Linked DNA regions of Drosophila melanogaster. The protein of the gene in region 4 purifies or fractionates together with the protein of the main gene of each other region. This does not show direct contact. Each region holds a gene or a part of one and is shown on either strand. Other genes may lie near its edges. The genes, in order: GstE6, yip2, CG11771 and fabp.

The links.
Region 1: the proteins of fabp (region 4) and GstE6 purify together in Drosophila melanogaster (affinity purification with mass spectrometry, with the first as the bait; one large-scale study listed by BioGRID). This does not show direct contact.
Region 2: the proteins of fabp (region 4) and yip2 purify together in Drosophila melanogaster (affinity purification with mass spectrometry, with the first as the bait; one large-scale study listed by BioGRID). This does not show direct contact.
Region 3: the proteins of fabp (region 4) and CG11771 purify together in Drosophila melanogaster (affinity purification with mass spectrometry, with the first as the bait; one large-scale study listed by BioGRID). This does not show direct contact.

The regions. Positions count from the first base shown.
Region 1 is NT_033778.4:18,403,350-18,409,342, reverse strand, and holds GstE6 (glutathione S transferase E6), read right to left. Parts: upstream 3,333-5,993; 5' UTR 3,302-3,332; coding exon 2,633-3,301; 3' UTR 2,582-2,632; downstream 1-2,581. Other genes in the region: GstE9 (glutathione S transferase E9), read right to left, coding at 1-252; GstE8 (glutathione S transferase E8), read right to left, coding at 815-1,483; GstE7 (glutathione S transferase E7), read right to left, coding at 1,717-2,388; GstE5 (glutathione S transferase E5), read right to left, coding at 4,041-4,709; GstE4 (glutathione S transferase E4), read right to left, coding at 5,400-5,993.
Region 2 is NT_033779.5:9,910,320-9,917,720, forward strand, and holds yip2 (yippee interacting protein 2), read left to right. Parts: upstream 1-4,933; 5' UTR 4,934-5,028; coding exon 5,029-5,047; intron 5,048-5,305; coding exon 5,306-5,472; intron 5,473-5,732; coding exon 5,733-6,661; intron 6,662-6,720; coding exon 6,721-6,802; 3' UTR 6,803-6,901; downstream 6,902-7,401. Other genes in the region: Etl1, read right to left, coding at 1-113, 170-437, 498-830, 890-1,452, 1,806-1,966, 2,025-2,157; Srp54 (splicing regulatory protein 54), read left to right, coding at 2,729-4,270; CG5885 (uncharacterized protein), read right to left, coding at 7,124-7,401.
Region 3 is NT_033777.3:24,927,360-24,935,419, forward strand, and holds CG11771 (uncharacterized protein), read left to right. Parts: upstream 1-4,650; 5' UTR 4,651-4,773; coding exon 4,774-4,877; intron 4,878-4,934; coding exon 4,935-7,023; 3' UTR 7,024-7,560; downstream 7,561-8,060. Other genes in the region: Osbp (oxysterol binding protein), read right to left, coding at 8,040-8,060.
Region 4 is NT_033777.3:11,559,731-11,570,470, forward strand, and holds fabp (fatty acid binding protein), read right to left. Parts: upstream 7,325-10,740; 5' UTR 7,258-7,324; coding exon 7,188-7,257; intron 5,382-7,187; exon of another isoform or gene 5,085-5,381; coding exon of another isoform or gene 5,054-5,084; intron 4,982-5,053; coding exon 4,710-4,981; intron 4,642-4,709; coding exon of another isoform or gene 4,591-4,641; exon of another isoform or gene 4,328-4,590; intron 3,563-4,327; exon of another isoform or gene 3,370-3,562; intron 2,567-3,369; exon of another isoform or gene 2,471-2,566; intron 1,476-2,470; coding exon 1,344-1,475; coding exon of another isoform or gene 1,122-1,343; intron 1,063-1,121; coding exon of another isoform or gene 435-1,062; 3' UTR 166-434; downstream 1-165. Other genes in the region: sea (scheggia), read right to left, coding at 435-1,062, 1,122-1,447; Mrp4 (multidrug resistance protein 4), read left to right, coding at 10,028-10,104.

The DNA.
Region 1 (5,993 bases), on a different chromosome or scaffold from region 4:
GTCATCACTCTTGGCATAGCGTCTAACCAGATAAGCGCAAATGGCGTGACTCTCCCAGATGAACTTGCCATCGTCCTCCAGCACGGGTACCGTGTGCTGCGGATTCTTCAGGCTGAACTCCTTCGTCTTGTGCTCACCGGCCAGCAGGTTCACCAGCCTATACTCATACTGAAGGCCCAGGGCGTCGAGGGTCAGTTTGCATGCTCGCACCGGCGGACTAGCCTCTACGCCGTACAGTACTAATTTTCCCATCGCTTCAGGTGTCCGCTCGCCTTGGCTGTTGACTTGAAACTAAACCAGCTCCGACTATCGCAATTATCGATCGGATGAACTTACAGCTCATTTTATTTCAATTTATATACGCTACTTGCGTATTCCATGCTGACTCACTCTTGTCGTTCGAGATAATTAGCGTTCCTTCTGATTGGCATAATATTTATTTGAATATGCCATTTTTAGAGGGATTCTGTGTTCTTGAAGACAAAACACCTATCTATTATCAGCATTTTCAGCAAAGCTATCTTTGCTTGTAGGATCGATTAGGTAATCTCCATGGACGAGTTCGACTGAGCCACTCCATGAGGTGTTAAGTGTTTTGGTTTGTCTTATCATATTTGTTTGAAATGTGATGGAAAATTCTTCCACTTGACCTGTTTAATTTGTCTTCTTACAACCGAATCAGGTGGCGATTTTTAAAACTGTCTATTATCATAAAATAAAAATCATAAGATAACAATATTTGAAGAATAGTCTTAATAATGTTTTATACAATTATTAAACATTATTATTACAATTATATACTAAGAATAAATTATTAAGTTGAGAAGGTAAAATTGAATTTCTTGAGGAGGGTCACCAAATCCCGGGCACCTTTGCCACATGCCTCCTCGTAATAGGGTAGTTCCTCAATCCTCTTGATCCACGCAGTTATATTGGCGTATTTTACTGTATCGATGACCACGAATACCGCCAGTGCGGTAATCGATGTGATTAGGCTAAAATCCGCGATGGTCAACTGATCACCGGCAATGAAATCGTGTCCGGTGAGAAAAGTCTCTACAAAGTCGTAAATCTCTATGACGGCATCGTAACGCTCCTTGGGAATCGTCGTCTGACCGGTCGCAAAGAGCGGCTTGGTGATGCCTCTCAGTCCGTTGACAAAGACCACGCCGGACTCGAAGTGCAATCGCTGGTCCACCACAGCGCGTTGGAGGAGATCTTTCGGATAAAGAGTATCACTCTGGCCATACTTGGACACCAGATATGCGCTGATTGCGTGTGAGTCCCAGATGAAATGGCCATCGTCCTCTAAAGTGGGCACCGTATGCTGGGGATTCTTCCGCAAGAACTCGGGCGAAAGGGTCTCCTTGGCCAGGGTGTTTATTTTGACGTATTCGTAGGGAATGCCAAGGGCGGCCAAGGTCAATTTGGCGGCCCGAACTGGAGGACTAGCCTCTGTCCCGTACAAAATCAGCTTGGACATGCCGTCTAGAGGTTGAGCCTAGTACTAAAAGTAGAAGCCAAAGAGGCGCCATATTTATTTGATTTGGAAAGAGAACGTTAAAGAGACACATTTTCGCAAGAGAGTTGACAAAAACCTGGCGAGGTGCTCTTTAGTATTTTTATATGTATATTTTCTATTTGTTTATTTTTTGTACTGTACGATTATTTTATTTATAAAGTGTTTAATATATATTAGCAGCATGTATAGATGATTTAATTCGATGCGAAAGTGAAATTATACTCTCTGATGAAGGACTCAAATGTACGAGCACCATTGCCGTTGGCCTCCTCGTAGTAGGGCAGCTTTTGGAGTCTCTTGAACCATGCAGCTATCCGAGGATATTTGGTCGTGTCCACCTTTACGAAGACCTCCAACGAGGACACAGTTGATATGATACTAAAGTCGGCAATCGTAAGCTGATTGCCGGCGACGTAGTCATTTCCAGCAAGGAATTTCTCCAGGAAGTCATAGACCTCAATAATCGCATCGTAACGCTCCTTGGGAATCATCGTTTGCTTACCGGCGAAAAGTGGCTTGGTAATGCTTCTCAGTGCATTAGCGAAGATCACTCCGGACTCGAAATGCAATCGCTGATCCACGACAGCACGCTGGAGGAGATCTTTCGGATAGAGACTGTCCGTTTTGCCGTATTTGGACACCAGATAGGCAATAATGGCATGTGAGTCCCAGATATAATGTCCATCGTCCTCCAACGTGGGCACCGTGTGCTGTGGATTCTTCTTCAGAAACTCCTCAGAGAAGTTTTCCTTGGCCCGAGTGTTTACCTCCACGAATTCGTAGGGAACCTCCAGGGCAGCCAAGGTCAATTTGACGGCACGAACTGGTGGACTTGCCTCCAAGCCGTACAGTATCAATTTGGGCATCTTGTCGCTGGGTAGAGTCTCGTCTATTACTAAACGTCAACAGCGAAGAGTCACTATATTTATAGAATTTCGAAAGAGAGTAATTAAGAGAAGCGAGAGCAGTAGATAAGAAAGTCAGTTAGGTTTTTGCTCTCGCCTCTTCTATTCATTTGTGTCCAAATCAATTATTTCACCACAAAAATTCAAAAGCTCTAGAGTTTTCTAAGCAATTATTTATTGTGACTATATAAACTGTAAAATAATATCATGCTTCGAATGTGAAATTGGTCTTCTTGAAAATGGCCACCAACTGGCGGACGCCCTTGCCATTGGCTTCCTCGTAGTATGGAAGCTGTTCCAGCTTTTTGATCCAAGCACCGATCCTGGGATACTTAGTCGTATCCAAGGCCACGAAGGCCTCAAGGGAGGCCACCGATGAAACGAGACTGAAATCCGCAATGGTCAGTTGATTGCCAGCAATGTAATCCTGTCCCTTGAGAAAAGTTTCCACAAAATCGTAGATCTCGATAATGGCATCGTATCGCTCCTTGGGTACTTTCGTCTGTCCCTGGAAGAGCACTGACTTCGATATGCTCCTTATGCCATTGGCAAAGACCACTCCGGATTCAAAGTGCAGCCGCTGATCCACAACAGCCCGCTTGAGAGGATCTTTCGGGTATAGGGCATCGGAATCGGCATATTTCGAGACCAAATAGGCAATAATGGCATGCGAATCCCAGATGTAGTGACCGTCATCCTCCAGGGTGGGCACCGTATGCTGTGGATTCTTCTCCAGATATTCCGGTGAAAGTTGGGCACGAGCCACAATGTCAACGTTTACATATTCGTAGGTTAGGTTTAGAGCGGCCAAAGTAAGCTTAACAGCGCGAACTGGGGGACTGGGGTCCAAACCGTATAAAGTCAATTTCACCATCTTGTCGCTGTGGGGTCTCTTTTCAAACTAACCCATAACTGCCGAATAACTAATATAATATACAAAACTTGGGATCAATGAAAGAGAAAATTTAAGAGAGATTCCGTGTACTTGAAAAAATCTCTATATTTACTGCACTTTACAAGTCAATAATAATATGTATGAATGTGAATATATGTCTAATCATGCATACATATGTATATCTTTGTCATACTAGAATATTCTAGTGTCTTTGGTCATACAAACCCAAATTTTTAAGTATCCTCCTACTCTTTTGAACTCACTTTACTTTTCTTTTTATGTTTATTTTTAACCTATCCCAACATCTAAAATAAAAAAAAAACTGATTAAAAGTATTTTAGCGCGAACATATGAGAGCACTATATGAATCACAAACATAGAACAACAAGTATTCTGTGATAACCGCTTATCATATGTGAAAATGATTACACAGTACTCGGGCAGAAAATACAAGTCATGCTGACAGAGGTTAATAAAATGGAAAGCCCTCGAAAATGTTTGTTGCCGGCAAGAATATATATATTATCTATGTATGTAGCGACATTCTGTAATAGGTTCTCTGTGTACTTAATACACATTTCATTCTCTTGCTACTTTAATGGAACTAACTAAGTTCTCTTGTTTCCTACAGCGATATTTCTCTTAAATCTAAAATATAAAGAGATAAAAAACCGCAATATTTACAAGTTTCCAAATTATTTATTATAATTTCAGAACTCTAGGTTGCAAAGGTGAAATTAGTGGACTTTAGAATGGTCTCCAACTCCCGGGCTCCCTTCGCATTGGCCTCCTCGTAGTAAGGCAGCTTCTCCAAACGCCTGACCCATTCGATGATCCTGGGATATTTCAACCTATCGATCTCCACGAACGCCACCAGCGAGGTAATCGACGAGATCAGGCTAAAATCGGCAATGGTCAACTGATCCCCAGCAATGTAATCATGTCCAGCGAGGAAGGTCTCCACAAAGTCATAGATCTCGACAATGGCATCGTAGCGTTCCTTGGGAATCCTGTTCAGGCCATTAAAGAATAACGGCTTGGTAATGGCCTTAATGCCATTGGCGAAAACCACTCCTGTCTCGAAGTGCAGTCGTTGATCCACCACAGCTCGCTGGAGCAGATCTCTGGGATACAGGGCATCCGAATCTGCATATTTGGACACCAGATACGCGATAATGGCATGCGAGTCCCAAATGTAGTTACCATCATCCTCCAGTGTTGGCACCGTGTGCTCTGGATTCTTTTTTAGATATTCCTCAGAAAGCTGCTCCTGACCCGAAATATTAACGTTTACAAACTCATAGGGCAGCTGGAGGGCAGCCAGAGTGAGTTTGACGGCACGAACTGGTGGACTGGGATTCACACCATATAGAGTTAACTTGACCATGTTTGCACTTTGAGTTAACGTTCTCTACTGACTGATTCTTGGGATCGAGCGCGTACAAATGTTGTTACCAAATGGAAAGGTTAAGAGAGCATGGCTAAGAGACATTTCTAAGAGAATTTTTGTTGGTTCTTGTTGATTGGTCCTTTAAGAGTTGATTCGTGTAGAGAATAACATAAGTTTCAATGAAACATTAAAAATTTGTGTAATTACAAATTCTGTAGATACTGTTCTGCTTAAATTATGCAATCATTTGATACGGTCTAACGGTTCGTCGAACGATAATCGAAATTGTTTAAGTACTTTCGTGAAAACAATCTAGAACTGACTCACTCAAATAATACTTTCGTGATTGTTGATAACAAGCTATCAAGTTGGTTTGCCATGATTCAAGTAAACATGTTAAAGACCTCGAACAAGTGGATAAGGTATTGTATGTCATGCAACAACTTCTATAGAACAATGGAAAAATACAGAAACTAATCCCCAGATAAACTAACCACCAGGCAAACTAGCCCACAGGTAACTAAAAGTAATAACAATACCTTTTAGGGGGGTGCTTTGCCTATTTAATTGCATAATTTGAACACAAAACAAAGAACATTTTTTTTTGTTTGCTAATATCAATTCTGTGAAAGCGATAATTTCCAATTAAAATGTTAAGCCATTTACTGTCGAAATCAAGACTAGTGCTTACGAAACTATGGTGAAGTTTTTGGACCTCAAGAGCTCCACGAACTGGGCAGCTCCTTTGCCATTGGCCTCCTCGTAGTAGGGCAGCTCCTTAAGCCTCTCCAGCCAGGCGGCAATCTTAGGGTACTTGGCCGGATCCAGCTCCAGGAAAACACCAATCGAGGTGATGGTCGATACGATGCTGAAATCGGCTATGGTCAACTGATCGCCGGCCACGAAGTCGTGATCATCGAGAAAGGTCTCTACGAAATCATAGACCTGAAGGATGTGATCCACCTGATTGCGGGGCAAGGTGGGCTCGCCGAAGAAGAGCACCGGACGGGTGAGTCTCCTTAGGGCAGACTCGAAGATGACACCCGACTCGAAGTGCATCAATTGGTCCACTTTGGCACGCTGCAGCAGATCCTTGGGATAGAGCTCATCGCTTGGCGCGTACTTTTCCACCAGATACGCCATGATGGCATGGGAGTCCCAGATGCAGGCATCATCGTCCTGCAGCAGTGGCACCGTGTGCTGTGGATTCTTCTTCGAGAAGTCCTCGCTAAAGTTCTCCTTCTCGAACAGATTGACGAACACAAATTCGAAGGGCAGATC
Region 2 (7,401 bases), on a different chromosome or scaffold from region 4:
ACATCTTTCTTAAGCCGTCTGAGTACAAATGGCTTCATGATACGCTTTGCTCTCTGGATTTGTGTTTCCTGGAACTGTGAAACCTCATCCTGATCTCCATCGCTTTTTCCCTTCTGCAAGGAACATGAAGTTTATATATTGTTTTGTGTGAAACCAATCTTTGTTTTACCTTAGCAAACAACGATTTTATGTCCTCAATGCTCTTGGCAAAGAATTTGGGCATCACGAAGCAGAGCAGAGAGATTAGCTCCAGCAGATTGTTCTGCAGCGGAGTTCCAGTGAGCAGGATTCGCATCCTAGCGTTTATGGTTATAAGGTTAGCATAGCGTTGCGTGGTCATGTTCTTCAGCATATGGGCTTCATCAAAAATGACGTAGTCCAACTTGCAAACCCGGAACATTTTCCTCTCCTCCGGCGTGGATCCCACAATGTGATATCTGTTCAAAATGTACAAGAAATTTAAGCTTAGATTCTTTTATGGCTTTGTGGATATTTACGTGGTCAGAAGAACATCAAAGCCGGTAAATCCATCCTTGGCAAAGCGGCCTCGCATTCTCCTTCGCTCGTCCTGCGAGCCATGGTACTTCTCCACCACCAGTTCGGGACACCAGCGGCTAATCTCTGCCTCCCAATTATCCAGCGTGGACGAGGGCACCACAATTAAATGTGCAGCCTGGCTAAGACCATTCTCCTTTAGATAGGCCAGAAATGCAATAACCTGAATTGTCTTGCCCAGACCCATTTCATCTGCCAAAATGCCATTCATTTCTTGTTTGTGCATTACGGTGAGCCAATTAAGGCCAATTATCTGATAATCAGCCAGCTGTAGACTGCAAGAGGAACGAAAATAGAAACACAAATGGGGACATGCATGCTGGTTAAGGCTCACCCGCTGCTAAGAAGCTTAGGTTGCTCCACAATGCCAGCACCATTGGAAATCGCCTTCTCCAGACGCGACACCATGTTATTGCACTTACTTAGAATAGCGGCCACCGTGTTCTGTTTGTTAATCAGCTCTTGAGCGTAATTCAAAAGATCACCCGACATCCTGATGCTCTCCAGCTTTTGGCGCAAATCAGACCAATCACTAAATGGTCGCACATCAATGATGGCTAATGCCTTCTTCTCGGACAGCGTTTTAACTGACTGGAGTTCAATTAGCGAAGCCTCGTTCATAAACTGGAAAACTTTTTTACGTTGCCCCGTCATCTTGGTGGACATCTCGCTATCGCTGTCATCGCTATCATACACCTGGTCCTTGGACTGCTTCACATCATCGTCGTCCGAATGGTCGTTATCCGAGAAGTTGCCTCCACTAATTCCGTTTGACCTGGGTTTCAGCTTGGACTTGGCCAGTGGTCCATTGTGCCCCTTGGGCTTGCAGTTCTCCCTTAGGTATCGCACGGAAGCGGCCACATCCCAATTGGTGCGGGAAAGAGACTCCTGGATGGCCTACGGAACATATTTGAAATTTATTTCAGTTAAAATCGAGATTTATGCAAAATATTGCATTAAAAATGAGCAATTTTAAGCTATAAAATATTCTGATTAATTTTAAAATTCAAATAAGAACGGTGATAATGTCCGGAAATATTTTATATGAGGCACACCAAAGTAGTGGAAACAGTTACACGAGAGGGTTATTACTGCTCCCATCCCCGTCAGTGACGCCCCTGGCTAACGACAGCTGTTCGCAACGCCGGGCCGAACCGAATCGCCATGTTCCCCGAACTCAGATGCAGAGACGCGCGTTTCCCCGCGAATCGCCCCGTTTTACCTTGGTGGCATTTCGGCCGGAAACCTACCATTGTGTCAAAGTGGGGCGAAATCTTGGCGGCTGCCATGTAGCGCTCCTCCTTTTCCTTAACGGTCAGCTCCAGTTTGGTCTTCTTGGGCGTCTGGGAGTCGTTGCCATCGCTGTCACTATCGGCCATCACCTGGATGCGCTTCTTTCCAGGCACACGCTCTGAAATCAGGCAGTTAGCTACCGTGTCAATCGCTTGGAATTTTAGCTCAGCAAGTACCAGTTCTCGAAGGACTAGCGACGACAGAGGAAGCATTCTTGTTGATGCGGAACTGACGCAGATCGCTGAGGCTCGACTTCGCGGACGATGAGGCGGAGGCCGACGCAGATGCGGCCACTGTGCTGTCCGACATCGTGGGACAAGGCGAAACGCTTCCTGGCAATCTGTCAGTCCTTATTAACAAATTCTGTTTGCAACTCCTACAATCTTAAGTTGGTATTTGTGAATATTCGCATGCTAGTGCGGCCGTTTGATTATCCCGATAAAACCTATTTCTATTTCTCCAACGGAATGCGGTCACACTGTGCGCCAATTTAAGTATTAGCTTAATGATTATTATTATTTTTCATTTATTTTTATCGAACTGTAACGCATTAGTGTAAGCTTCTATGAGATTATCTAACAATTTGCTTTTGTATATATCGTATATGATTTGATTTCGTCAACCTAACCGTAAGTAATTAAAACCGATGCCAAAATGAAAGAAAGAAACTTAAAAAAATCCCAAACTGGCGGTAAATTAAGAAAGTTGCCAGAGTTGCCAGATGTTATCGGCTTACCGCAAGCAATCGGCCAACAATCGAAACATTGGGACGCGTTGCAACCCTCTCTTTTTTTCGCTTGCTCTTGTAGGTTAATTGAAAACACTTTTATTGCAAATAAACCGCTTGCCGAGCCAAGGGCAAACCGATAAACTGGCAAACATGGCTGGCGGCAACACCCCGCGTGTGATCCAGGTGACCAACATAGCGCCGCAGGCCACCAAGGACCAGATGCAGACGCTGTTCGGGAACATTGGCAAGATAGAGGAGATCCGCCTGTACCCGACAATCCGTGATGTCTCCTGTCCGGTGCAGTCGCGCATCTGCTATGTGAAATACACGGACACGACCAGTGTGCCGGTGGCCCAGCACTTGACCAACACGGTGTTCATCGATCGCGCCCTAATTGTCATACCCGTTCTGGCCATACCCGAGGAGTATCGGGCCCTGGAGATGCTCAAGAACGGAACCATTGTGCCGGGACTCCAGAAGCCGGACTCCAAGCTACCGCCCGAAGTCATTAACCGCATCGAGGGACAGCTGCCGCAGCAAGTGATCAAGACGTACGACCCCAAGTTGGTGGAATTCAATCTGCCGGAGTACCCGGCCTTACCCTCGTTCTACGATGCGCGCAAAATCGAGGAGATTCGGCGCACCATTATCGTGTGCGATGTTAAGAACGAGTGGCGGCTAGACGATCTGATGGAATGCTTTCAGCGCGCTGGGGAGGTGAAGTATGCCCGTTGGGCCGAGAAGGATAACAAGACGTACTGCATGATTGAGTTCTGCGAACAGACCAGCATTATTCACGCCCTGCGCATGCAGGGCCAGGAGTTCAAGGGTGGCCATCTAAGCGTCTACCACTCCACGTATTCCATAACCAAGCCGGAGGCAAAGTCGAATGAGGCAGCGCAGGCTGAGATTGAGGAGGCCATGACCATTGTGAAAGAGGCGCAGAGTATGATCTCAGCGGCCATTGATCCGGTAATTGGAATGCTCGCTAAGGACAAGCGCCGCAGGTCGAGATCACGGTCCCGTTCCCGGGACCGTCGCACCAGTCGATCCCGCTCGCATCGTTCCACATCGAGACGCCGTTCCAGGCGTTCCGGTTCCAGAGAGCGACGTAGTGTGTCCCGATCACGCCGCTCTAGGTCGCGTGGCAAGCACTCGTCCCGTTCTCGCAGCAAGCGCTCAAGATCACGACACCGTCGCAGCTCCTCACGTTCCAGGAGATCACGCTCCCGTGGCGGCAAGCACTCTCGCTCCTCAAGGTCGCGTGGCAAGCGCTCCAGGTCCCGCCATCGCCGCAGCACCTCACGCTCACGTAGCTCGCGTTCCCATGGCACCGGTGGAGGAGGCAGTGGCAACGGCAAACGTTCCCGATCCCGCGAGCGCAGCAAGAAGTCACACCGCAGCGAGAAGCACTCTTCACGTTCTCCCCGATCTAGAAGCAAGCGCAGCTCTCCCTCGCCGCCGCCAGCTACCGGCAGTAAGTCACGGTCCAGTCGCAGCAAGGATCCGGTCATCGTTTCCGCCAAGTCATCCCGGCGGCGCGACCGCTCCCGTACTCCCGAAACTCGCAAACTCAAATCCATCTCTGAGGACACTGAGGTTAAGAGCTCACGATCCAGCGCCGATTCGAAGTCACGCAAATCGGTTAGTGTCGAGAAGTCGGACAACATGGACATCTCCAACTCGCCCTAGACCTAGAGAGATTGCATACTACTTTATAATAAATACAGAACTTAAGCAACCCCGTCTCCAGTACAACCCGACACCCATTGTCCTCAATGAGATTTGTATTTCACTCAACTCTGTCATAGTTTTCAAGTATAAAGTCTAATTAAAACTGAAGCATTTTCTTTCGTAATGAAAAAAATAGTACATACAAATATGAATGATATCGGTATCATAGCAGTACAATTTTTTTTAATTTTTTGCCAAGTACGGATTGTTTATTTGGAAACTATAACAATCTTATTGTCTTCTTATTAGGAAAACCCAATACAAATGCAAGTTAAATTAATAAAAAACTTTCTAATGAAGACCAACTTTAAAACATTGTATGATCAACATTTTGTAAGGAGTACTTAAGTATGCAAAATTGCTTTGATAAATATACATTAAGAACGCATTAAAGAGACTTGTATTTAAAAACTAGAGGATTGATTGAGTTTCATCAAAAATCGAAATTCAGCGATGGTGACTAATCGTCACTAAGAACAAAGGAAGGAACAAACTGCAGCTAATTTTGCACAGTGTATTCTACAGCTGTAATCGGTGGGCTTGTCTCACTTTGTTTGTCAGAGAGCGGGGTAAAGCTTTTCGAGCTTTCATCCAATAATATGTCGGCGATGGCGGCGAATCGCGACCAGAAGTCGAAAGTTATTGCAGTGCGATAGTCGCCTTTACTTGCATTAATTTATTTGTTGTTTTATTTAAGAGTGAACCCACCTTAGAAAATGTCTGCCGCAACCAAAGGTAATTATGTGAATCCTTTAGGATATGCCTATGCTGTTGGAAGTCTAGATAAGAGATGATCTCGCTAGAGAGATCTGAACTTTGGACTCGTTGGTGTCTTATCTGATGCTATCCCCCCCCCCCGCGTCCAGCCGGTTGCACTTTGGACCTGTTGAATCGAAAACAAAAATCCGCCTTCGTTCGAGCTAAATTTGTGCTATCACTACGCACATTATATATGTTATACATATGTTCGTATGTTTCTTCTCCTTTGTAAAGGTATCTATATTGTGGCTGCCAAGCGTACGGCCTTCGGAACCTTCGGTGGATCCTTGAAGGGCATCAACCAGACCCAATTGCAAACCACGGCGGCCAAGGCTGCCCTGGATGCTGCCGGTCTTAAGGGTGAGCAAGTGGACACCGTCATCGTGGGAAATGTGATCGCGGTAAGTTGGATTGAAGATCCTAAAATAGAAACTCTTAAGGCGTCGGATTAAAACAATATTAAGATGTTATTAAACTAAAAGAAATATGTAAATGTGATAAAATACTTGTACATCTGGTTATGTAAATTAATTTACTCGATATTTATTTGTTATTATTGCTTAATTGCAAACTCAGTAGATCAAAAACTGGAACTACATGCTTATATTATGTTTTTTTGTAACTTGTAAGTCTTAAAAATCTCTTCTCTTCCACTTCGCAGTCCTCCTCCACCGATGGTATTTATGTGCCCCGTCATGTGGGTCTCAACTGCGGTGTGCCCATCGAGAAGCCCGCCCTTGGAATCAACCGGCTTTGCGGTTCCGGCTTCCAGTCGATCGTAAACGGAGCCCAGGACATCCTGGTCGGCGGTGCCAAGATAGCCCTTACCGGCGGCGTGGAGAACATGTCACAGAGCCCTTTCATTGCCCGTAATGTGAGATTCGGAACCACCTTGGGTGCCAGCTACAATCTGGAGGATGCTCTATGGGCTGGCCTCACCGATACCTACTGCAAGCTGCCCATGGCTCTGACCGCTGAGAACCTGGCCGATCAGTACAAGATCAGTAGGGAGCGTGTGGATGAGTTCTCTCTGCTCTCGCAAAAGAACTGGGAGAAGGGTCAGAAGGAGGGAGCATTCAATGCCGAGATCACACCCATCAAACTTAAGGTCAAGGGAAAGGAAGTGGACTTTGTGGTGGACGAGCACCCACGTCCCAAGACCACCATCGAGGGTCTGAACAAGCTGCCTTCGCTGTTTAAGAAGAACGGCGTTGTGACTGCCGGAACAGCATCCGGAATCTGTGATGGTGCCTCCGCAGTGATCGTGGCCTCCGAGGAGGCGCTTAAGGAGTACAACCTGAAGCCTCTGGCCCGTCTAGTGGCCTTCTCCTTTGTCGGAGTCAAGCCTGAGATCATGGGCATTGGCCCAGTACCCGCCATTCAGAACGTCCTGAAGGTTTCCGGCAAGAAACTGGAGGATATTGATCTGATTGAGATCAACGAAGCCTTTGCTGCCCAGACATTGGCTTGCGCCGATGCCCTGAAGTTGGATACCTCCAAACTGAATGTGAACGGAGGCGCCATCGCCTTGGGCCATCCTCTGGGTGCCAGTGGCTCTCGCATCACTGGTCATCTGGTTCATGAGTTGCAGTAAGTTTCCGTGGAAATTTACAACCTGTCATAAATTGATAATTATATATTTTTTCCAGGCGCAAGAAGCTAAAGTACGGCATTGGATCCGCGTGCATTGGTGGTGGTCAGGGCATCGCCCTTCTCCTCGAGGCTGTCTAATCCTACAGCTTAATGTAATAGGTGCCCTGCATTTACACTTAAATTAGTGCTGAAAATTCCGTTTTAAAAATACCCCGATAGCAATAAAGAAATTATTTTATCTTTACAATTTATTCAATCAGCAGCGAATGGAAGTTGATCAGCTTTCTACAAGAAAGACAAGTTGGTGTTTATACTATAAAATTTCTATGCTCGCACTGCTGGAAACGCCAATGGGACGGGGGTTGGCGGATGAAGGACCAGCCCGCTGTACCAGGAAATCTCTTGAAGGGCCTTACATTACGAGTACATGAACATGGGATGACATGGCTGCACATTCGCTCAGTTCGTCTGTGCGCTGGTGGAGAAGAGCGACAGAGCGCCGCTGGCGATGCCCACGGAAAAGATGTAGTTGATGAACGGCGTCGAGTTCTTCAGGATAAAGAAGCTGATGAAAATGATAACGGCCAGGTAGATGGCGTTGTTGTAGAAGATGGAGAAGGTGGTGGCCTCGTAGTCGGCTACCTCGTTCTTCTTCCACAGGATGCGCTCGTCCTTTTCCTTGCGCGTGACCTTCTTGTCATCGCCCACCTGACGGTTGACCTCGCGGGTCACCGCCT
Region 3 (8,060 bases), about 13 Mb from region 4:
TATTGTTCTGGTAATTGTTATATGTGGACTTAGAACAATGAATCAAAACGACATACGTTCTCAGCGACAATGTGAACAAGACGAGCGCCGGCTCTCTTTACAACGCAACAATGCATACTTTTCTTTCGTCTCACCGCAAATCGGTGATCGAGCAACCTCACCTTCAACTAACTCGAAACTTTTGCCCTCAGCGAACGACAGACCGCGTTCTTGCTCTCCCTCTCTGCCTGCTTCGGCTCACAAGTCGTGGAGCGAAGAGACCGCCTCTCCTACCCCGCTCCTCTCGCAGCGCCAAACGACCGTCCCGGGTAACTGTAACACTGCAATAACGAGTGCAGTGACCTCACTGGCAACTGCCACAACATCAACTTCGTCAGCGGCCCAACTAATTATCGCTGTGCCAGCTGTAAATAATTCAGCAGCACTGACCGTTTGCAACAACAATAATGCACGTAAAGAAGAATCAAAACAAAAGCAGAAGTCGATTTCGACTGTGCAGACTGGCATGGATCGCTACATCCAAATCAAGAGAAAGCTCAGCCCTCAAAACAATAAGGCAGGTAATCAACCCAAAATCAATCGAACCAACAACGGCAATGAAAACTCTGCAGTAAATAATTCAAACCGATATGCTATCTTGGCTGATTCTGCGACCGAACAACCCAACGAAAAAACGGTAGGGGAACCAAAAAAGACCAGGCCTCCACCAATTTTCATACGAGAACAAAGTACAAATGCACTTGTAAATAAACTCGTTGCTTTGATTGGTGACAGCAAGTTCCACATTATCCCACTTAAAAAAGGAAATATTCATGAAATAAAACTACAGATCCAAACAGAAGCAGACCACCGTATAGTGACTAAATACCTAAATGATGCTGGTAAAAACTACTACACATACCAATTAAAAAGTTGCAAAGGGCTACAGGTAGTACTTAAGGGCATTGAAGCAACAGTGACACCAGCTGAGATAATTGAGGCTCTGAAGGCCAAAAACTTTTCTGCAAAGACAGCTATTAATATTTTAAACAAAGACAAAGTTCCGCAGCCACTATTCAAAATAGAACTCGAACCAGAGCTCCAGGCACTAAAGAAAAACGAAGTGCACCCAATATACAATTTACAGTACTTGCTACATCGGAGGATCACCGTGGAGGAGCCGCACAAACGTATCAATCCAGTTCAATGTACTAATTGCCAAGAATACGGCCACACCAAGGCATACTGCACCCTTAAGTCCGTATGTGTTGTCTGTAGCGAACCTCATACTACCGCAAACTGCCCCAAAAACAAGGACGATAAGTCTGTGAAGAAATGCAGTAACTGCGGGGAAAAACATACTGCAAACTACAGAGGCTGTGTGGTGTACAAAGAATTGAAGAGCCGCCTAAACAAACGTATTGCCACAGCACATACATACAACAAAGTCAATTTCTACTCTCCGCAACCGATTTTTCAACCACCCCTAACTGTCCCAAGCACTACTCCAACAATTTCTTTCGCTAGCGCCCTAAAATCCGGACTAGAAGTGCCCGCCCCACCGACAAGAACTGCTCATTCCGAACATACACCGACAAACATCCAACAAACACAACAAAGTGGCATCGAAGCTATGATGCTATCCCTACAGCAAAGCATGAAAGACTTCATGACGTTCATGCAAAATACTTTGCAAGAGCTCATGAAAAACCAAAATATCCTGATTCAACTTCTTGTATCTTCAAAATCCCCATAATGGCTTCCCTACGGATATCTCTGTGGAACGCAAATGGCGTTTCACGGCATACACAAGAGCTCACACAGTTCATTTACGAAAAAAACATCGACGTAATGCTACTATCAGAAACGCACCTCACAAACAAAAACAATTTTCATATACCAGGATACTTGTTCTATGGTACAAATCATCCAGATGGTAAAGCTCATGGAGGCACTGGAATACTCATCAGAAATCGCATAAAACACCACCACTTAAACAATTTTGACAAAAACTACTTACAATCTACGTCCATAGCCTTACAACTCAACAATGGTTCAACGACTCTAGCCGCAGTCTACTGCCCACCGCGCTTTCCAATCTCTGAGGATCAATTCATGGAATTCTTTAACACACTAGGTGACAGGTTCATCGCAGCGGGTGACTATAACGCCAAGCACACCCATTGGGGATCTCGACTTGTGTCGCCAAAGGGTAAGCAATTGTACAATGCGCTTACGAAGCCAGAAAACAAGCTAGACTATGTATCCCCGGGTAAGCCTACATACTGGCCAGCAGACCCAAGAAAAATCCCAGACCTGATCGATTTTGCAATTACTAAACATGTCCCCCGCAACATGGTCACCGCCGAAGCACTAGCAGACTTATCATCAGATCACTCACCTGTTTTTCTAAATATGCTAACTCGCCCCCACATCGTCGACCCACCGTATAGACTCACAAATTTTAGAACAAACTGGCCAAGGTATCAAAAGTATGTCTGTTCACACATAGAACTAACGACGGCATTATCTACAAAGGAGGATATAGACAAGTCAACGGAAACTCTTGAAAACATTTTAGTTTCGGCTGCAAAGGCTTCAACCCCGCCAGTGACGTATGCAAAACCAAACTACATCAAAACTAATCGCGAAATCGAGCGGCTGGTATTAGATAAACGACGCCTACGAAGGGATTGGCAGTCTAATAGATCACCAATTACTAAGCACATGCTTAAGATAGCCACACGCAGGCTTACCAATGCTCTCAAACAAGAGGAAAAAAACAGCCAACGTTCATATATCGAGCAACTCTCTCCCACCAGCACTAAGTACCCTCTTTGGAGAGCTCACAGAAACCTAAAGACTCCAATAGCGCCAATTATGCCACTACGAAGTCCCTCTGGCACCTGGTTTCGAAGTGATGAAGAAAGAGCCAGTGCTTTCGCTGACCATTTACAAAATGTATTCCGACCAAATCCCTCTACCAACACATTTATTCTCCCTCCTTTAATAGCAGCCAATCTAGATCCTCAAGAACCCTTTGAATTCCGACCATGTGAACTAGCAAAGGTTATCAAAGAGCAACTGAACCCAAGAAAATCGCCTGGCTACGACCTAATAACTCCAAGAATGCTCATTGAACTCCCAAAGTGTGCTATTCTTCACATCTGCCTGTTGTTCAACGCAATCGCCAAGCTTGGATACTTCCCTCAAAAATGGAAAAAGTCGACCATAGTAATGATTCCAAAGCCAGGAAAAGATAAAACGCAGCCATCATCATATAGACCGATAAGCTTACTAACATGTCTTTCAAAGCTGTTTGAAAAAATGCTACTCCTTCGGATTAGCCCTCATCTTAGAATAAACAACACACTTCCAACACATCAATTTGGCTTTAGAGAAAAACATGGAACCATCGAACAGGTCAACCGAATCACGTCAGAAATTCGTACTGCTTTTGAACATCGAGAATACTGCACAGCCATTTTTCTAGACGTCGCGCAGGCATTTGACAGAGTGTGGCTCGATGGACTTTTGTTTAAAATAATCAAGCTGTTGCCCCAAAACACACATAAGCTACTGAAGTCATACCTATATAACAGAGTGTTTGCAATAAGATGCGATACAAGCACTTCACGCGATTGCGCAATCGAAGCTGGAGTGCCGCAAGGCAGTGTACTGGGTCCAATCTTATACACCCTGTATACGGCGGATTTCCCCATAGACTACAATCTAACAACCTCCACGTTCGCTGATGATACCGCGATACTCAGTCGCTCGAAATGCCCAATAAAAGCCACGGCACTCCTATCCCGACACTTAACATCTGTAGAACGATGGCTTGCCGACTGGAGAATTTCAATAAATGTTCAAAAATGCAAGCAGGTTACCTTTACCTTAAACAAACAAACATGCCCACCACTGGTCTTGAATAACATATGCATTCCACAAGCCGACGAGGTAACATATCTGGGAGTTCATCTGGACAGGCGGCTCACTTGGCGCAAACATATAGAAGCCAAATCGAAACATCTTAAACTTAAAGCAAGGAACCTCCACTGGCTCATAAATGCTCGCTCTCCACTTAGTCTGGAGTTCAAAGCTCTTCTATACAACTCCGTCTTAAAACCTATCTGGACTTATGGCTCCGAGCTGTGGGGCAACGCATCCAGAAGTAACATAGACATTATTCAGCGAGCACAGTCAAGAATTCTGAGAATTATCACTGGAGCGCCGTGGTACCTTCGGAACGAAAACATACACAGAGACCTAAAAATCAAATTAGTAATCGAAGTAATAGCTGAGAAAAAAACGAAGTATAACGAAAAGCTGACCACCCATACAAATCCCCTCGCAAGAAAACTAATCCGAGTATGCAGTCAAAGCCGGCTGCACCGCAACGACCTCCCAGCCCAGCAATAAACTTATTAGGGCATTAATGAAAAAAAAAAAACTATCACTAAGTGAAAGTTAATTAAGTTAGATTAAGATTTGAACACTTATTGTTAGTCTCTTAACACAAAGGGAAGATTCAATAAATAATAAAAATTAAAAAAAAAAAAAAAAAAAAAAAGAGAAGTCACAGATTAGGATAGATTGGATTCAGTGACTGCAGTAAAGTGTGATTTTCGCATCACTGCCGGCTCCACCGCTGATGGTGGCAACCCTGGCCGCTGTCACTTGCTTTTTGGTCCAGGCGTGTTGTGTAAACGCTGGCCCCCATTTCAGAATCCCAAATTCCGGCGCAAACTGTCCGGAATTGTACATATCTGGATTAACGACTTCACCTAGGACATGCTAAATCTCCTACGAAGGCGCCCAACGTCGGTGCCCCTCATCCGGGCCGCGCTTAGCGCTCCGCTGCACTCAACGGAAAACCGGCCGGGTTACATAGTGCTGTAAGTACGAAAATTACCCGGATTCAACATGTGGAGTCACTAAACCTATCCCCGCAGGGTACCGGAGATCGGTGAGGAGGGACCGCTAGGCGAGGGCGTGCTCAAGCCGGACGGACTTCCCGCCTTCAGTGACATCACCATCGAGATGTGCTTGGGCGCCATTGGTCAGCAGGCATCGGCGGTGGAGAACTCGGTGAAGGCGCTGGAGAGCGACCTGCACAGTGGCAAGCAGCTAAATGCCGCCAGCATCTTTCGGGAGCTGGACACCGTGACGGGTCCACTGGAGACGACATGGGGTGTGGCCAAGGCTCTGTACCTGGGCAATTCTACCCTGATACCCACCAAATCCTACATGAACATCCACGAACGAGCGCGTAACGCTCGGGCAGCGAAGTTCTGCAATCAAACGGTGTATAAGGCACTCAAGGATGCTTCGTCCGATTCGGGTCCAGATGAGCAGAGGATGCGACAGAAGTTCCTGCTCGAGGGCAAGCTGAACGGGCTCACGCTGGACAAAGATAAGCAGGATGGACTGAAAGAGCTGCTTACCCATTTGGGTCGAGAGAGAGCCAACTTCAAGAACAAGGTCAACATGGCAGTGCACTCGTTTGGACAGATTATTACGGACTTCAATCTTGTAAGAGATTTCCCGCCTTCGCTTCTTGAGGCAACAGCCCGCGATCCCGGACAACCTATGACGGGTCCTTGGAAGATAACCCTACAGCCTCAAGTGGTCGATGGTTTTCTAAAGCACTGCCCAGAGCGAATGCAGCGTTGGAACGTCTGGAGGGCCAGTGTGCTGAAGGCATCCTCGCAGCAGGAAAAATCCCTGGAGAACAGCACACACATCGAAAAAATACGCGGTTTGCGCAAGCGACAGGCAAATCTGTTGGGCTATGAAAGCTTTGCAGACATGTCCATGCAGACCAAAATGGTGGGCAGTGTGGACAACCTTAAGCAGATCTTTGCCAAGCTTCTCAAGTTCGCCGGCCCTGCTCAAAGTGTGGAGCTGGAGAAACTACAGGGCTTCGCTCAGGACAGTGGCTGTGAATACAAGCTGGAAGCCTACGACGTTGCCTACTGGCGGCGCAAGCAACTGGCGGCGGAGCACGGTCTCCAAGATCAGAAGCTCCGCGAGTTTTTCCCACTGCCCCGCGTTCTTTCCGGCTTGTTTGCGCTGAGTGAAAAGCTCTTCGGCATCAAAATAGTTGAGCAGCCCAATGCGGAGGTGTGGCATCCGGCAGTTAAGTTCTACGATGTGTTCGATGCTGATTCCGTCAATAGCTCCACCCCGGTGGGTGGCTTTTATGTGGACTGCTATTCCAAGGAGCACAAGTTCGGCAGAAACAATGGTTGGATGGTGGGCATACGGAACAGCAATAAGTCTGCCGGGCTGACGCCTCTCTGTGCGCTGATATTTAACTTTTCGGAGCCACAAAGTCCGGATGCCAAGCCCCCGCTTCTTGGATACGATGATCTGCAGATGCTCTTCAAGACTTTTGGAAGCGGACTCCAACACCTGCTCACCCAAGCGGGGTACAGCGATTTGGCGGGACTCTCAAACATCGAGTGGGATGCCTCTCAAGTGTCCGGTCATGTGATGAGCAACTTCCTCGACGATCCCACAGTGATTCGAAGCCTATCCGGACACTTTAGCAGCGGTGAGCCCTTGGAGGCTGAGCTTTCACAGAAGATGCGATTGCTGAAGACTCAGTTGGCTGGCTATAATCTGTGCCAGGACCTCTACCTGGCGGATCTCGACGTGGAGCTGCACCGCTCGAATGCCTTCTGGCTGGAGGTGGTTCGCAAGCTGTGGCCGGTTTATCAATGCATGCCGCTGGACAAGAAGGACGCACATCCGTGCTCCCTGACCGACATTTTTGCCGGAGATTGGGCGGCCGCCCAGTTCAGTCACTTGTATTCCCGCCTCATAGCCGCCGACATTTCGAGCAGCTTTGCTGAGCAGCGAAGCGAAGAGAACTACGCGGTCGTTGGCCGGCGCTACAAGCAGACCTTCCTCAGCTGCGGCGGATCTGTGCCCACGGCGGAAGTGTTCCGTCGCTTCCAGGGTCGCGACCCGTCGGCCGAGGCACTTCTAAAGTCGCTGGACATATTTGAACCCTCCCAGACCACAGATAACAACTGAGGGTCGCCCTCTGTTCCGCTAAAACGTTATCTATTGTGTGTAGTCAACAAATGCTGATCGATGGCAGCCTGTGGAGGCCCGACGAGTGGCAACCTTATAGGAAAGTAAGCATTGGAGTATTGGAAAATATTTTAAAATAGTTTTGAAATGTATTCTGTTAAATATTTGTTTATTGGTCAAGATCCCACTTGTACTTATTTAAAAGAAAGTATAGCCGTAATTGAATGACCCCAGCCAGGAAACTGAAAACCAAAAACGATTGATAAGGGCTTTATAAATTTTGGAAGTGTAACTATTAAAACAAGAATTCTATACTTTACGCCTCCACGATTTATTAGTCGGCAATTCGATCTACACCCTAATTGGCAGCCGGATGTGATAGCGATCGCGTGAGTCAGGCGGGATCTTATCGCAGGTGTGCAGGTGGTGTCGCCAGGCGACATCGTCAGTTACCCCAGTTGAACACACATACACACACACGTTGTTGCTTTATTTAAATAATACTTTAATAATAAATTGCATAAATTTATAACATTTAACATATTCTCTCGCTTCTTGCTCGGTTCTCTCGATTCGGTTCGATATATTTATATACACAACAAAGGCGAAGTATGCATTCAGCGGAAAGGAAAAAGACATCTAGGGGTTTGGATGGAAACCGAGGATTAAGAGCTATCATCTGTCTTGGCCTTCTGTTGGAAAGCCACTAGAAATGGTTAACCGGTAGTCAGGAAGAAATAATCAAAGTACATTTCGACGCAGGGGTATGGATTAAACTTGGTTAGTTTACAGGAATTAATTTATATATATATATATATATAAATATGCTCTAGATCAAAGTGTGGTACTACAATATGCGTATGTGCTGCTCCGAAATCAGTCGGAGCGTGTCCCGCTGTGGTGTGTTAGTTGTGTGTGGAGGCTGGATATCTGAAAACTTTAGAATATTCGCTAAGGCTGCTATGTGTGGTAGTGGCTGCAGTTGCTCCCTTGGCTGCTCCGTTGGCTACTGCTGTCTAGTATATGTCCGGACAGCC
Region 4 (10,740 bases):
ACCCATTCCCCTTTCTTGGTGAAAGATCTAATCTGAAGTTTACTCGTTTGCGTAGCCTAATCTATTCTAGAGATTTACTTAGAAAACTGTTTACTATTATATAGTACCAATTAAAATATTCACGTTTTCATGCGAACTAAATAATCCAAAAAGCCTTACCTATTTCATCCAGTCTAGCTATGATTTATATGGGAACTTCAAATAGACTCTTCAGATTTAATTCAATTTTTAAAACAAGCTGTATAATTTCTATAGCCACTTACCCATTGCGGGTATAGAGTGTATATAAAATGCTTTCTTGGAATATGTCACAAAACTAGAAACTATTGCAACAGTCGACTAGGGAACAATGGGAACAGAGGAAAATGCACGAGTGGGTTTTTTGGGGTAGAAGGATGAACTAAGTAACTAAGTCGCCAAGCCGAATCGCCGAGTTACACCCACACCTTGTTGAACAGATCCATGAAGGAGTCGTAGATCATAAAGGTGATGGCCACATCCAGGCACACACGACCTAATCTTGGCACGGTGCCCTTGTAGAAGGCGGCGGGACCTTCGTTCTTCAAGATCTCCACCGCACAGTGGGCAGTGTTCTTGTATTTCGATGCTTCCAGACCCTGCATCCTCGTCTTGACCACATCCAGCGGCGTATTACCGAACACAGAGGCTGCTCCGGCGATAGCTCCAAACACTCCAACCACCAACTTGGGCACTGGCTTCGTGTGATCGTCACCCTTGTACAAATCCTTAAGGGACTCCAGTACGAAGAAGCGAATGGCCTGGTTGGAGCCCTGTTTCAGAATGGTGGGCGTTAGGCCCTTGTAGATACCAGAGATGCCCTCCGACTTGATGATTTGGCCAACGCCGTGGGCGAATCCCCTGAACTTGGGATTGCCGCTGCGCTGATCGTTGATGAACTTCACCTTGATGGTCTCCATCGGGGTCACTGCCACGATGGCCTCACATACGCCAGCTCCTAAGCCGCAAAGCAACTTTCCGGAGTTGCTCAGTTGTCCTCGGGAGTCCACGGCGTTCGATTTCAGGAATTCAAAAGCACCGAATCTGAAAGTTATCTTTTAATCAGCAAAACATGAACTATAACCAAAAGTTATATAACTTACCTCGCCGCTGACTTAGGAATGCTGCCGTAGACGAGCACACTGAGACCTCGGTAGAGACCCAGGAATCCACGTTCTCCCACCGTCTTCTTAACGCAATCAAAGATGCCGTTGTACTTCTTCGCCGCTCCCTTCTCGTCCAGCTGCAGTTGTGTCTTCACATACTCGGTGGGATAGGTGATGCAGATCTCGATGCCGCCCGTAATACCGCCGGCGACGATGCCCTTAAGGCCCACCTGGCCGCTGTCCGCAGCCGCCGCTCCGTGCTCCGTCATCCACGGACGTCGGCGGTACGGGCTGACAAGGGACGCGAAGGCGGAGCGATCCATGCTGACTGGGTGTTAGGTGGGGAATTAGCTGAAAGAAAATAGTAGAATTCATTTATTGTACTGAGTGAATTCCAGCTGATTTCTGTCCGATTGAATGTTATTTATATCCTATTGTTGTAAATGGATCAAAATAGACTCGTTCTGCGTGGGTGCGCGGATTTCAAAATATTCCCCAAAACTTGTATGAAAATATGGCATTTGTTCTTCATAGATAATGATATCTGAAGTATTCCTTATCATCTATTTAAACAATTTAACTATATCTGTGACGTACAATCGTGAACCGCGTATCTATGCGAATATCGACCTTAATTATCGTATTAAATGTTTGTTTAATTGCAGTTCTGCTCTACTAGTTATGCAATTTCTATGAGGAAAAGAATTCCACTTGGCTGGAATGGCTCCAGCGGGCTCCAATTTAAAGTTAGTAATCAATGCCATTATCATAGGTAACTTCCCATTGTATCGTTGACTCTCTTTTCCCCCAAAACATATTCATTTCACCTTGGGGACAAGGTTCGAAAACTGTGAACGAAGAGTCGACAAACTAACACAAACAGAGCGAAAAACCAAATGTTCGAAAATCTCAATAGTGATTACTTAAGATCGGGTGATATAGTCTGGGACGGTTTGAGTGGGAGCGGTACTATATCAATATCAGCAGGCTCGTTGGTTGTTTCGCTCTTTGCACTTGACAAATTAATATTGTTTCAGTGCGATTACATAACTTTTGCATGACCATAAATTATAATCGCACACAGTTGCAAGTTCATAATTATTCATTTTATGCCGCTGTTTAAGCCAATTTCCGTATCGGTCTGGAAATCTGGATAAACATAAACAATACCCACTGATAAGTCGGCACTGGAAAGTTTCTACCGACTTCCACACACACACACAGACTTCAAAAGCGGTTGATTAAGCCCACACCCACACACTCAAAGCGCACTGCTGTCTGGCAAAAGTCGCGCTTAATTTTTGCTCATGCAGCTTTGCTATCGGGTATTGTTCTCTACTACTCACATTAGAATTCAAAAAACCGAAATAATTATAATTTTGGAAAGCCCAGGCAGCGGTGAAGTGAAGTGGCGATGGGGACAGCGGTTGAATCTCAACTGATCGGGGCTACGAAAAAATTCCATTTTCCAATCGACGAGCGAAAGCGATACAGTGCATCCCGGAACTAACGGACTTTGGATTTTCAGATCCAACAGTCAGCAGTCCGAACAACTCTATCCCAATAGATTTAAAATGGTAGATTCTTCTAAATATCAAACTTTTTGTAAAATAAATTGAATCGATAGACTGAGCACGCTATTCTCTATAGTTCACTGCATCAGGGGCGCACTGTAATTCCAATGGTCGGCGTTTTGTAAACAACAGCACTTCAGCGGTATCCACTCTCCCCGCGCTCAGTAATGTACACAGTAAAATATTTCTATTTTGAAAATCAATCAGAAATTGAAAATAAAAGAAATGATACGTGGATCTATCTAGTAAACGATCCTAAACGAGTAACATACACATACATCAGTTCGATCCTAATAATGGAATATTAAGTTTCTAAAGATTGATTCCACATTGATAAAGGTATTTTGATAGCTATATAAGTGCGTTTCGATTACTTTATGGAGAACTTTTTTCTGTGCAGAGAGTGCGAAGAGTAGCGCCAAAGTAACGTTTTTTTGCTGACACCGCAGTGAAGATCTCTCTTTCTCTCTCTAATCGGAAACCCGTTTGTCCAGCAACAACAAAGTGGACAGAGCTTTTGGGGCGGACTGGAAAAGCTCCGCTGAAGAACAACAAGAAGAACATTTGACTTTAAATTTTGAATGTTAGGTACGCCGCAAAGTAGACCAACATTTTTTCTTTAGCGATTACACAATGAGTTCACACACACACAATGCGCGTAGCCTACGCACACCCACGCGGTAGTTTTATCCAGGTTATCAGAGCATTTAGTGCTACACTAATAAAATCGATAACGGCGCTTTTGCTTTTTAATTTATAACGCCCAATTGACCAACAATTAAGTGTCTACTATTTACCGACTGACGCAACTCGGCGTCATGCGGATACACGTAGTTCTAACGCCGCCGGCAAACGACGAATGTTAACAAAAAAAACCCGGCGAAAGTGTGGCCGTGCTGCCAACTGTCCGCTGATAACGTGTGCGCTTGCGCCAGCCCCCAAATGCAGCAGATGCCACCCACCCACACTTGTGGCACGCACTTGCAACAGACCCCATTCACACGAACAGTGCAAAAGCCCCAGCAGCATTGTGTTTTATACTCAATTAGCAAGAGCAAATGCATCGCAACGGAAACGGAAACGCGTGGGCAGAACATCCGCAGCCCAAAAGCAAATCAGAGACCATTCAGACTTGTGCCTCTTCTCTTTATACATACAACTTCAATAAACGATACAATAAGAAACGATAGTAAGAAACATGCTTTCTATAACCCCAAAGGTGGAATTTCTTTTAACAGTTTGAAATTTGAAACTTTATAATTCATATCGATTCAAAAATATGACCTCCAATTGAAAATGTAATTGAATTTGGTATTCTCGATCCCTTTAGCCATTGAAAATATGACACCCTACGAATTTCGGGATCCTTAACGATAACTTTCAAGCCAAACTAAAATATCTGGCATTGTTCGCCTCACAAACAAGCCACTTAAAAATTCTTTTTTAGGTAGGAACTAAAATTATTTCGATGAAAACACGTTACTTGCTTACTCACAAAACCGTAAATTTGGGAAATAGTTGGAAAAATGCCAAAATATAAATTTATAACTAAAACTAATATAATTTTGATTGCTGTGTCTAAGCTTACATTTCGTCATTAACCTAAGCAACAACAAGCTTAAAAGCGAAGTGTAAAAGAAAGTCGGAATGTTTTAAAAGCACTTCAAGTAATAGTTTATTCAAATGCATTCGGAAATTGGTCCCCGAGTACGAGGAGTATTCCCACATACACCGACTGCGGGTGTACGGGTGCGATTATAAATTAACATTGGGCAGAGCGTGCAGTTCCATTTGATTTGGTTTAGTTCACTGTTAGTCAACAAGAATATTGGCTATCTGAGTTAGTTTTAATGCATGTAGTCGTATGGATATTATAGTTTTAGATCAGTCTCTTAGACGGCCTTGTAGACGCGCACGCACTTAACGTTGCCGATGGTGAGGGTCTGTGGGGGAGGCATTGGATCAGTTAGGTGGGTGTGATGATATACGGCAAGGTATAGTAAGCGCTTACGGTGATCAGCTCGTTGTCGGTGAACTCGCGGACGATGGTGGTGGGCTTGTCGCCCTTCTGCTCCTGCGTCAGCTTGTTGCCATCCAGGGTGATGATGCTCTTGACGTTGCGACCGTCCAGGGTCTCCTCGTCGAACTCAACGCCCAGCTTGAAGCTGATGGCAGAGGTCTTGAAGGTGGAGGTGGTAGTCAGGGTGTAGGTATCGCCCTCCAAGGTCACCTCCACTGTGGGGCTCAGGCTGTTGCCCATCTTGCGCGTCACCAGACCGACGCCTGCAAGTGGAAAGGGAAAAGAAATTAATGAAGTTCCATCTCACGAGAATGTAAGGAAATCAAAGATCGCACCGAAAGATGAATGATGGGGCAGACTGCACATAATTGAATTAGCCCAACAAAGTTGGGGACCCCAAAGCGCTCACAATGCAAATCATATCATATTTAATTAAAAATAATAAAGCCGAGCCATGAAGTTCCCTGCAGATTCCGTTCCGCTGTAACGTCAAAAGTCGTGCTCAAGGTTAACGAACAATGCGGGCCGTCGTCTCCTCCCTCATCCTCATCTCCGCTCTTATCAATTGGCAAGCCCCTCCATGCATTTAAATATAGATCTGGCAAAGCACCACCTTATCTCGGTGCAGCATTCCATATATACATATGTTGTTTGAGGGCAGAACTGTGAATATAAATGCCATTCAAGCAGTGTAAATATATATTTTACTGGCTTAAGTGGTCAAGATCCATTTTGCTGACGTTCCAAATCGTAAACCTTTGAAGTGCTGATAATTACCATCGAAAGATAAGCAAAGCAATTCCATCATTAAATGATAACTTAACGATTGTGAACAATCAATCGTGTTTAAGTACTAAAATTTGTCACTTAATTTTATGGGACTTGTAATTACTGAAATACTATATGCATGCACGTAGCTGTATGAGTAATTTTGCATTTATATTTTTATTTGAAAGAAGTTTCGCCAAATGAAACGTTGAATCAAAAACAAAGTGTGAATCACTGGTACCTTACGAATGTGCCAGCAAATAGGGCACATGTATTATTTCCAATCTAGTACATTGTCAGACATCAAACCAACAAGTGGTCCAATCAATTATGTTCAATTATGTATGGACCACCACCAACTTGTTCTTTTGTCCAGTGCCCTCAAGTCAAGTGTCAACTGGCGTGGCGCGATAAGTCGCCAGGTTCCCACTCATGGGAACCCAGCAACTGTACCAGAGATCGATTTATATGCATCGTATATGACAGGAGAACCTTGAATAGATTAGACTGGCCTGCAATTGCGAACCGTGGTCTATGATAGGGGTGGCTGCCCAAAGTGCAAAATCCGTAATCGCGCCTAATTATCGTGCCTTTTGCGACATTGTATATACTACAAATGTGTGTACATAAATAGGCATATAGTTTATCGCATTTATATATGTACGACAACTGATAAGTGCTGCGAGGCCCCAACGGCAGGTTGATTTTAGATTTGTTTGGGCTTGAAAATTGAGAAGTACGTGGCTTTCGGACCAAGTCTACCATTAAACCGAAGCCGCAAAGTGTGTAGGCGAAAAGTTCTGACGAACTGGTGGTCTGGTAAATAAATCTGGACGCCCGTCTCTGGTTACCAAATGCCACTAGTCCCTATGGCGCGTCTAGACAGGAAGCGATGGTATTGATCAGTTTTAGTGGCACCATATAGTATAATCACGATTGCAATAGAAATTGCACTTTGATCGGTAAGAGAGTCGAATGTGTCCTATATGTAGTTTATATCTGGTGTTTCATTGTTGTCTAAATTGACAGCCGGGCAAAGATCATCGCAGCTATAAAGCTTGTAGTCTAGTGCAAAGTTCACTGCGAGACTTTCTCCCAAAATCTAGTACACAAATAGATAAAACCTGTCGCAAAAGCTAATGGCACTATGATGATTTCGGTCCCATGGAAAGCTGACGGAGGTGACTCAAAAAAGGGGAGCAAAGTTCAGGCCCCACACTTAATTAGTTTTTGGGTTTATGACTACCGCAGATAACCATTTACGGATTTTATACTGCTTGTCCTCCGATTCGCAACTGTAAAGTTGAGAAAGAGGGTGAGGTGAATAACTGGAGCACGTTTTTATTGCTGCAGATGTGCATCTCTTTCTCTGGTCCTATTCTCTATTGATTTTATCTGACACACACATACGCACATCAGCAGATTCAATGAGGTGTCAATTTATGCATGTAGCTAAACTATTTTAACAGTCGAATTCATTCATAATCTTCAGTTGATATAACATTTTCCGGAAGACATTTACTTTTTTCCCTCTCGTTTGGCCAATGAAACTTTTTGCACACTAGTGCGAAAAATGCCGGCCGGTCGATTTTCGGTGGCGTGTTTTCGGCTTCTTTTCTCTCCCTCCACTCCCGCTCTCGCTCTCTCGAGCACTTTGGTTTTCTATTTTTGATGCACTGCGAATTAGTTTTGGCAACTTACCCAGCTCCTTCATGTACTCATCGAAGTTCTCGGACTTGTCCAGCTTGTACTTCTTGCCAACGAAAGACATTTTTGGAATATTTGGTCTGTGTTCTGCACAAGATGTTCACTGTTGAAATTTTCTGAGCGAATGAAAAGCTCTGCGGCGTGCCGGCTGTTATATACTTTCGCGTTGCGGCTACGGCATTGCCAGATGCAAGTTAATGGCCTCTCGCTCTCATTTGATTCGCTCTCGTTCTGCGGCACGGCTTTTGCACGTTTCCTTTTTGTTTGTCTCACAAATTAAAAATTTAATGATGTGGCATCGGCTGAGCATCGGATTACCAGATGCAAAGCCAAGTACAGCCGCCAAGGTATCGAAATGTCGGCGCCAAGCCGTTGGCGCTCTTACAAAAAGCAGCTTTTTTAGGCGCTCTCCAAAAAAAATATTAACGGTTCTATGGGGGCCACCACTCCCCCTCACACCGCATATTGGTAATGGATCGGACGTGTTACTGCCACCCAACGTCTGACCAGCTCCTCCTGCTCCTCCCAGCACCCAAGCACCTTCACCTTGGCGCGATCAATTGGCTGCAGCCTTAATTGGTTCAAAAGCACCGGCCTAATAACGAACGCCACATTGTCATGCTGACAATGGAACTGCAATGTATCTCGCATTATACAGTCAAAACTTGCCTATTTTGGCGCGAACTTTAAACTTTTCTCCGAATTTCAGATTACGCATTGGGAAACCCAATGTGTGCAAGTAAGGAAGGGGAATTTATTTGAAACCCAGACTATCTCACTTTGTAGTACAAAATTATTATTAATATAATATCAAGATTTAAAATTTTAACATACATACACACGTATATTTTATTTAAAAGGATATCCGTTATCCAGGTTTCTGAGTCTCGACTGTTCGCCCCCCATATATTCCGAATTAGTAGACTTTTTTCTGTGGGTCAGTGGCACCATTAAAAGAATCTCCCGAGCTTCTACATTTTACCAATGTGTATAAATAATTTTCGACACAATTCGTTTATATTATTGTTATGAATAACTCTTGATAAGTCGCCGGTGAATTGTAATCTAATCGAGGACTTCCTTCCACCCATGGTCAGGCAATGCAATATTGAGATTACCCACGATCTCCATAAGCCTGCCCATCCCGTGGGAGGGCCCACCTACATGGATACCGACTTGTTTGTTGCTAAGCGTTATCTTATTAATTCAATTAGTCCATGATCCCGCACCCCCCTCACCGATCATCCTTATTATTGCATTGATCGTCATAAATAAAAGAGATTACGGGGGTTTGCCACGAAACATACTTATGTACATAATATGTACTACATATATTATTTATGTATACCAATAATAAGTAACGTCTTGATCAATACAAAATATGATATACTCTCAGTATATCTTTATATATATACTTCTTAATGTGTATTATTTACTGGAGTGGAAGAGCCAGTCGAGCTTTTTTAGTTTCGCCAGTGACTTGAATTTGACCGACGAGATGTGGGCCCTCCAGGTCAGTCCCCGATTTAGATGAACTCCTAGGTAGCAGTGCGATGTGACATTGTTTCCATCAAAAGTCAGATCTGTGCAAGTTCCGGGCCGCAGGGTAAAAGTTACACAGGCTGACTTCGAGGAGTTAATGGCCACATTCCATTTGGCAGTCCATTTTTCGACTGCATGCAGCCATTCCTGGACTGCGTTGAAGAAACATGCATTTAGTCATTCGGAAACTTTAAAGCCCGAAAGTATGCAGCACAAAATCGTAATATCAACTTTTCAAAAAACCTCAACTAACAGCTGCGCTCAACTAGTGCGGTAAAGTAGTTAATAATAAAATTTGGATTTGTAATGGAATGGACAAATAATGAGACCGTGCAACAGCTGTTGCGTTTGTAAAACTTTAGATACAACATCTATTATCTGATCCTAACTTTATAACTACAAAGTCCAAAGAGTCAACAGCTTTATCGGACATGTTAGAATAATGTTTGCCAGCACCATAAAAGTGTCGTATCATTGTTACACGTTGGTTACTACTGCAAAGTGTCGCGCAAAACGAGGAAAATATAAGTTAACCTGCTTATCACTAGTCTCACTAAAGACTAAACAAATAACCCACAAACAAAAGAGATCGAGAATAGTGCTATGAAAGAGCGATATAAAGAGAGTGGCAAAGAGTCTAGTGTAATGGAGAGCCCACCAAGAGCATTGGAGAGCACCCACAAAGAGCGCTGATCTTAACCTGGCACAACACCTACCCAGAGAGTGACATGTATTTAAGGTGGAGCCCGAGAGCGGATCGGGTCAGAACGAGTCGGACCTTCGGAGCGAGCAGATAGTCGTGGGTAGAGTAGCGCGCAGTGCCATGTGTACTTCGATACGTTCGCGATAAGTAAGATGTGCTATGAACTAAATCACATACGAAATACAAGGCAATCTATGACGAAATACGCCTGCAACAGATAGAAATACCGAATATCTCCGCGTGAAGTGATCTTTTTTGGAACCGTGATCTCGCAGCAGCACTTCTTCCAATCCGAATGCCACGCAATATTGAAGTCTGCATTGTGCCAGTGGAAAAGTTTACTTCCCGCAAACGTGAATAGAAATCGAATTCGTAGATCGGAATCTGAAATCGCTCGCATTTCCATCTGGTTTCTCCTCGGCTAATGCCAAACTAATTATATTAAAATAGAGCGCGTGTCCCCTTTCGTATCGAAAAGTGCTAATCAACCGCCGTCGTCCAAAGGCAATCCCGGTGACCGAGCAAGTCCCCTGTACTTGTAATGCTACACTCTATATAGTGCAATTTAGCTCCAATCAGTGCAATCAGCATGCAGTCGATGAAAGCCGATGAACTGCCGGAGAATCCACGGGAGCGATCCAGTCCCCTCTCGTCACTTATGTTCTGGTGAGCGTAGAAATTATATCTTTCTGGGCATTTCGAGACTAAATTTTTATTTCTTTTTAATTAAATGGTTTGTCCAACCATCTCATTGCAAAAAGAATAGAATATATATATGTATATGTATGTGGGTTATAAACTTAATAGCTCTAATAGAAACCAGTTTACAAGTCTATTAATACACATATTCAAAGATCATGGCATTGTTAGTAAACTAAAATCGAACATTTTTTTTCGGCGCGATGATAAGAAAAAAGCACCCATTGATGACTAGTTTAGGTGTTATTTATTCATGTGCTTTGTTGTGTGTGTGTGTGTGGGGGGGGGGGATTTGGGGAGCATATAACGTGACAACACTGACAAGTTGATTATTTCATTCAATGGTTCGCTTAATTCGCGTGACCGAGGCGACAAAATCATTTTGCATTTCACGGGAGCTCGGATTCCCATTCAATTGGTTACCAATTGAGGGCGACACTTAGCTAAGATCCATTTTCAAAATTATTCCAGAGGAAATCTAACAGCGCTAGGTACAGAACTAGATATCCAAAGGGGAAAAACTGCTGACAAATGTTATGAATCATTGCGATAGAACACATAAACTTAAAACGCAACAAACTAATTTTGATGTACAGCTTCTGA